2 linked regions of the Rattus norvegicus genome follow. The protein of the gene in region 2 purifies or fractionates together with the protein of the main gene of each other region. This does not show direct contact. Links are inferred from orthologs where the notes say so. Each region holds a gene or a part of one and is shown on either strand. Other genes may lie near its edges.

Region 1 (3,521 bases), on a different chromosome or scaffold from region 2:
AGTTTGAGATCAGCCTGTGCTACGTGGGAGAGAAAGAAAAAGAAAAGGAAAATGGAGTCTAGGATCACATGACCATGATGTCATAGTATCAGAATTTGAATCCAGAGTTCCCAGGTTCAAAAGGCAGGAGGCCCTTTAACCACATCACTGTCTGTCACCGCTGGCCCCTTTCAGACGTCCTCTACTTCTGCCCATGCTGAATAAAATCCCAGCCCTCTAGACGGAAGTTCTGTGTCTGAATACCTGAAACGGACATCCCTACGCTACTCATAGCTTCCGTGGGCTCCAGGGGATCAGATTTGGAATGAAAAGGGGCAGGAAGAGTAAACGTGGTTTGCTCTGGGTAAGTCCGTTTGTAGCTAAATGGATTTTCCCCTCCCCTTCCTTTTAAAATGGATACCCATGACTGACAGTTCACAGGACCAATCATGCGTGTGCCCAGTGCAGGTAATCAGCATGGTGATCGCAGGGCATGTGCTGAGTCCAGACGGCAGTCCGAAACTTCGTCCTGTCTCCAGCTTCTTACGGACTTTGTGGTCCCCTTCCACAGAGGTCCCTGAGCCTTAGAGGGGGGCTGTGTGAAGTAGGATTATTATTTGAAGTCACCTTCATAAAAGTGTGAAGAAAAGCAAAAAAGACGCCACGGCCTTCTACTTGGCATCCCTGTTTGCCCTGTGGTGTGAGCCCGGCTGTCAGTGTTGTTGGGCGGGGTCCTTGTCTTGTTTCCATGCTTGACTTCTGCTGAGGCACACTGTCACCTCAGCTTGGTGGGGCTGTAGCTGTGTAGGAAGGTGGTTAAGGGTGGGCTGGGACGCGTCCGCCTCTCTTCACAGCCCTGCGGCTGATGACCGAAGTACCCCATTCACTAAAAACAGAAGGAACAGCTAAGGAGCAAATTGCCTCCCCCGATTGGGGCAGGTAGACCCAGGGCGCTGGGTTGAAGGGAAATTATTCTAGTGCCGTCGTCGTCGGGAGTCCTAGGACAATTAGGCCGTCCAGACAGGTCACTAGGTGATACTCATTTCCTGGTTTGTTTATTTGAGCCAGATTGTTTCCCCACCTAGCAGTCTGCTGCCCCGGTGCCCTGGCTTGCCCAGAGCAGCCCTTCCCCTGTGATTTCTCAGGCTTCCCCAGCAGGGCAGCCAGCCTTTATCTGGTTGGGCAGCTCTGGGGTCTCCCAGCGACAGAGCGCAGGGCGGGGCAGGTAACTAACTACTCGGACGCGCTGTTTTGCAGGCGTTTGGCTTTATGTCCAGGGTTGCCCTGCAAGCAGAGAAGATGAATCACCACCCGGAATGGTTCAACGTGTACAACAAGGTAACTGAGCCTCTTCAGTTTTGGATCACTTTAACTTTGGAACTGAAGAAACTTATGAATCCACAGGAAGTGCCGAGATTCTCTAAGGAACCCGGTGTGTCCTTGTTAATTAGTAACACAGTCAGGGCGCTCCTGGGAGAAGAGCTTGTCTTTCAGAAGTTCAGGCTCCATTAGGCTCCTGAGTTGATCTTGGATATCAGCCATGAAGATACAATTTGACGTATATTTTTGTGGAGGGGGGTTTCTTTGGAGGAATGTATTATTTAAGTCAGTCTCCCTATGTAGCCCTGGCTGGCCTGGAACTCACTATAAATACCAGGCGTGAGGGAGATCCTCCTGCCTCTGCTTCACGCTTTGTGAGGTTACAAGCATACACCTCCATGCCCAGCTCAGTTACCTGAGACCTCAGAGTTTTGATTTGGAAATAACTTATTAAAAGGAATGGTAGCAAACCAGATAGCGTGGCCTTACATGTCTCTCAGAAATCTCAGAAGACGTTTCTCTGTAGTAAATGTTTATTAAAGTTTTGACCTCCAGAGGGCAGACTGGAATGTTTTAAGGGGTGCAGCGAGAACAGCCCCCCACCAAGAGGGTCCTGCCCTTAGGATCTCAGCACGGTCTATCCAGATTTCTCTGAAGGGTTGTAAGTCGTCTTTGAGAAATGAGAATCCCACTTTGAAATTTTTTTTTAAAAGGAAACAAGTCCTAACTGACCAGTTCCAGGCTGAACTCCACCCCACCCCCCACCCCCATGCTTCTGTTTGCTTTTCAATCTTGTGGCTGAGACATGCCCGTCTCCTCAGTTGGCAGCCTGCCTGCTTTTGTAGCTCACTCAGTGACTGCCTGATAGGTCTGTGTGCCTGCTCTTTCCTGGTGGCCTGAACAGAGCTGGTGTAAGTAAAGTCCTGGAGTTAAAATGGAGCATCTGTCTCCTTTCCTCCAGGAAGGCAGGCTCTCCATGCTGGCAGCTGACTCCCCTCAGCCTCTGGGAGCCTTTACTCTTAGGCGGCTGCTGCGAAGCTCAATGGTTTGGGAGACTGTGTTTATCCATCAGGTGTGCTCTCCACCAGCTAACCCCCAGTTCTCAGATGGGAATGTTGGGAAGTCGACTGATATCGACATCCGGGGGGACGCCATGCACGGGTCCCTGCTCAGGTCTAAAAGTCTGCTTGTCCCTTCATAGGTCCAGATCACCCTCACCTCGCATGACTGTGGAGGCCTGAGCAAGCGAGACGTGAAGCTGGCCCAGTTCATTGAAAAAGCTGCTGCTTCTCGGTGATCGCCTTTGAAACGCACATAAAGGCCTAATGCCTGCCTCGTTTGCAGTTTTCTGAAAGCCATTTGTGTTAATAAATTACGTCACAAATTAGTTCATATTTGCCTGAATAAATTGTTTTGTATGATTGATACAGAATGATTTGAAGCCAAGACTCGGTTACTTGTCATTACACCTGGTCAAAGACGATGATAAACCAACCTGAATTATTTAAAAATTAAAAATGTGTGTGTGTGAATATTTGCATGTAAATGCAGCCGTTTATGGAGGAGCAGTTGTGAGCGGTCTGACATGGATTCTGGGAACTGAACTCAGAGCCTCTGAGAGAGCAGTATGACCTCTTAACTGCCAAGCCATCTCTCCGCCCCCAACCTGGGTTGCTCTATGAATAATAGTTTCAAAGAAATTCTTAAGAATTCTTTTAACCTTAAGAAATTCTTTTTCTAGATAGGTTCTCATGGTGTAGCTAGGCTGGCTTTGTATTGTCTATATAGTCCAGACTGGCCCAGAAAAAACCGGAGTTCTGTTTTTAGATTTATTTTATGTGTATGATGTTTCACTTGCATCTATGTCTGTGTACCGTGCGTGTGCCTATCAAGGTCAGAAGAGGGCATCCCAGCCCCTGGCACTGGGGTTAGGGATATTTGGGAGCTGCTGTGTGGGAGTCAGACTTGAACCTGGGTCTTCTGTAAGAACAGAGAGTGCTAACCGCTGAGCCATCTCTCCAGCCCTCAAATGGCCAGGATGGGGAGAGGAGAATAGTCACCTTTTGTCACCTAGGCACTGCAGGGTGGGACTCTGTTGCCCAGTGTTGGAGAACCGTAGGAAGGGATTCCTCATTCTGAAGACGAGTTTACAGAACAATTCTCACGAAGCTCAAGTTGTTTTGGGTTTGGCAGTTTTACTGCCACTCCTGCTGACAACCTGT
Region 2 (3,851 bases):
GAGAAACTAAGAGGGAGCACCAAAGGAGAGAGGAGCAGGGGCGGCCCCATGCAGAGAGGGAGGCCAAGATGCTCAGAGCCAAGGAGAAAGGGAGAAGTGGGTCCCGCGCAGGAAGACTGGAGCAGGCAGCGCTGAGTGTGCGCGCATCCAGGACTTGCAAAGCCAGCATGAGGGATCAAAAGAAGGGATAATGAGCGAGTGAGCGTAGGGAGGCTAGGGGGAGGGGAGGGGATAGAACTAGAACTAAGAGAATTTGCCTTTACTCTGTCTACCTGCTGACCCTGAGGGAGGGGAGGGAAAGGGTCTTGCCCAAGGTCACGTGGTAGACAAAGGATGGGGCTCTAGGAGGAGAGCTGAGGTGTCTGCGGTGGCCTCGAACGCCATGGGGTGGGGGTGGGGGTGGGACCTGAGACCCCAGACCCACCTCTCCCTCTTCCAAATCTTCCAAAGGTAGACCTTGGAATCAACAGCTACCATGGGGAGTTGCTTCTTTCTACCAACCCTTCCAGCCTCAACTTGCCCACTAGCCAGGCCCTCCTCAGGGGTCCTCCAGCCCTCTCCCCAGAGTCTCCCCCCACCCCGTCCTGAAACTAGAGGCCCCCACTTTTTGTCCCTGGGGACATGTTCAGGTCCCCTTTGTTACCTGAACAATAAGTAACCCGGGTAGTTAGTTATAAACTCCGCAGGAACAAGAAGCTGGTTGATAATTTATAGCAACATCTCGAATTTAAATGGAAAGCAAATAGCTCGCTGTTAGCATTAAAGAAAGGCAACCTGGGAGGGACACGCTCCAGCCTCCTCTCAGCTCAGCCTCTCTCCCCTGCCCCTTCATCAAGCTGCTCAGAGACCCTCTCTTTTCCTGGCTCTTCTGCTCTCCCCAGCTCCCCCAGCCCTCTTCTTCCCTCTCATCCTCCTCCTCACCGCCCTTGTCCCCTCTGCCTCCGGGATTCTTCTGGTTACCCCCAAGGAAGCACTTTGACCTCTGCTCCAGCTGCTGTGGACCAAGCTCCCCTTCAACCCCCACGGCCCCCAGCATGGGGGCTGCTGAACAAGAGGTCCTACCTAGCCAGGTAAGAAGACTCTTGGCCTCCCTGGCCCCTCCGCCTCATACTAAGCCCCCAGTCCCACCTGGGGCCCCTGAACGGGTCAGGCCCAGCTCCACCCTATCCAGGTTCCTTGCGCCCTGGTTCTGGTAATACTTGGCCCTTTGCCCCTCCCCTGCAGCGAGGCAGCACTTTGCCCTCCACTTTCTGCCAAGTCAGGGGGCCTGGCTGCTCCTCTGCCCCTTGCCTAAGGCCCTGGGAGGCTCTGCGACACTTCCAGAAATGCCGGGATCCACCAGCCCTCCCCCACCCCAAGTCAGGATCAGGACCTTGGACAGAAAAGAGGCTGCTTCCGGAGTGTTCTTGGGAGATTGTCCCCAAACTCCTCAGCCAGCCCTCAGGCCCCTCCTTCACAGCTCTTTCCCCAATCTGAGCCTCAGTTTCCCTATCTGAAAAGCTGGTTTATTAACCGCTTCCTTCTGGGGGGCTCATCTCTACATCATGGCGATTTAGGCACCGCAAAACCCCACAAGAAAATAGGAAACTGGGTGATAATCTCAGGAAACTGTGGAGGCTTTGGGACGTGGGGGTGGTAGTATTCCCCACGGCCCCCAAGTTACCTTTCCCCCACCTTGGTGTTCCCGTTCTCCACCCCCCCAACTGGGCATCTCCCAGCCACCGTCCCTACAAGTTAATGATCACAGGCCTTATCAGGGCCTTTTGCTATTTATAAATTTATAAAACAAAAGAAATAATAGCGCGCATGGGTAATTAGTAACCAGGGTGGCTTTGCTGAGGAGAGGGGAGGCATTGAAATTGGGACCCACCCAACACTCCAGGAGATGGGGAGCCAGACAACAGATGAGGAGGGCTGGTATGGGGAGGCCTCTAAACCTGCTATCTGACCAAGTTGGGGTCAGGGGGTGGAGGGAACGGCACCTGGCCATGCATGGAAGCTGCCAGCCCTCAGCTCCATCTGCCTCAGGTAAGAAATCCAGGCGTACCCAGCCACATGCTTAAGGCCCTGGCAGATCAGGAAATCCCCTAAAACGCCAACATCAGCCCAGCCTCCTCAGACGCTTTCGGGTCCCTAAACCTGGGCTCTGACCCCCTAGCAAAGAAGGTGGAATTTGTGGGAGCCACAGGCGACCACCCTGGGGAAGGATTTCTACCACCCGCTGGTTCTCCCACCATATTCTTGGGGTTCACTTCCTTTGTCCTCCGTTTCAAAGTGACCTCAGGCCTGTCCCGGTTTCCTAAGGACGTGGCTGCAAACAGGAAGCCCATGGGTATGGGGTACGTAGGACCAAACTGAGGGGTAGGTTCAACAAGAACCCCTTGACCACCAGCCTGAAGACCACAGCTCCCAAAGCCTCTAGGAGGGAAATGGAACTTGCCCGGAGCATAGGGAGCATAGACTGGGCCGCTATGAGTTCCTGCCCGGGTGCTGGGGACAGGGTGGGATCCTTACTGAAGAAGTGACTCCACCACGGCTTTCTGGTGGGCTGCCTCCTCTGGGCTGAGGTTCTCCAGCTCTTTCAGAATGGGTGGCGCGAAGTCTTCCCCATCGTCATCCGTGTCATCTTCCGAGCCACGCGTCTCCCCCAGGCCATTGGGCAGCTCGGTCAGGTCCCCTCGAGTCCCACCGCAGGACTCCCCCTTGTCCAGGGGACCATCTCCAACCATCAGGTAGGGCCCGGGCTCCCCCAGAGCCTGGATCAGAGCCTCTTTGCTCAGGCCCGACTCGAGCAGAGCAGCCAGGAGCTCCGTCTGCAGCTGGCTCAACTTAGAAACCATGGCTCCTCTACCGCCAGGCCACGCGGCCCAAGGCCACTGAGCTAGCCGCCTCCCCCACACACGGCCGGTGTCTACTGCTGGCAGTCAACGGACCAGGCTCGCTGCACCCACTGCTCCCCCAAATCCCACTAGTCAAGCCCTGTGGGCACCCCCAACCCCCAACCCTGGCCCCAGCGGCTAGTGAATCAGGGCCCCTGCCTGCTCTGTTTACATTGGAGCTGGGGAAATTCTCCAAGGTTCATATTTATCCGTGTGCTTAGCGAAGGGACTGAACTTTGGACTTCAGCCTTGCAAGTGCAGGCCTCACAGCAGCGAGAGGGACCGGACCGGGAGCCATGGCTTGCAATTGGGAGTGAGCAGAAGGGCGGGTGGGGGAGGTGGAGCGGGAACCAGGGGCGCAGGGAGAGAGGCACCAGGAGCCAGGAGGCCTCTGGGAGCAGCGCTGGTCCCACTGCCCAAGATGCCTTCCTCCTGGCGTAGAACTTTAAAAGCGTGTTTCTTTGGGCCCCTGGAACAGTAGGAAGCTCTGGGCCACTGGGCCAGTTCTCAAGGGCAGAATTAGGTCATATTTCCTGGAGGGAGTCACTGCACCTCCATCCTAGCCCAACCTTAGGCTTCCCGGGGGGGGGGGGGGGGGGGGGCGGGGTAAAGCCTGTGTTTTAGCACTTCAAACGTCTGTGTTGAGGATTGTACTGGGTTATGATGTGTTGCTTCTTATCATTGTGTGATCCCAACCGGGACATACGTATGTGTGTGTGTGTGTGTGTGTGTGTGTGTGTGTGTGTGCGAGTATGTGTCTCTCTGTGTGTGTTTATGTATCTGTGTGTGTGTCTGTGTGTGTATATGTCTGTGTGTCTGTGTATCTAATCTATATGTGTCTATATGTGTCTGTGTGTGTCTGTGCATCTGTATGTGTGAGTATGTGTGTGTATCTTTGTGTCTCTGTCTGTGTATGTGTCTATGTGTGTGTGCCTGTGTTTCTAAACTATGTATATATGTATCTGTGTGTGT

Evidence for each region.
Region 1: the proteins of Hnf1a (region 2) and Pcbd2 purify together in Homo sapiens (affinity purification with mass spectrometry; 4 studies listed by BioGRID and IntAct, with this or other methods). This does not show direct contact. The link is inferred for Rattus norvegicus from reciprocal best matches to the Homo sapiens genes HNF1A and PCBD2.

The regions. Positions count from the first base shown.
Region 1 is NC_086035.1:8,849,556-8,853,076, reverse strand, and holds the end of Pcbd2 (pterin-4-alpha-carbinolamine dehydratase 2), read left to right. Parts: intron 1-1,236; coding exon 1,237-1,317; intron 1,318-2,500; coding exon 2,501-2,596; 3' UTR 2,597-2,728; downstream 2,729-3,521.
Region 2 is NC_086030.1:47,305,384-47,309,234, reverse strand, and holds the start of Hnf1a (hepatocyte nuclear factor 1-alpha), read right to left. Parts: upstream 2,991-3,851; 5' UTR 2,841-2,990; coding exon 2,515-2,840; intron 1-2,514. UniProt on the Homo sapiens protein: Transcriptional activator that regulates the tissue specific expression of multiple genes, especially in pancreatic islet cells and in liver. Binds to the inverted palindrome 5'-GTTAATNATTAAC-3'.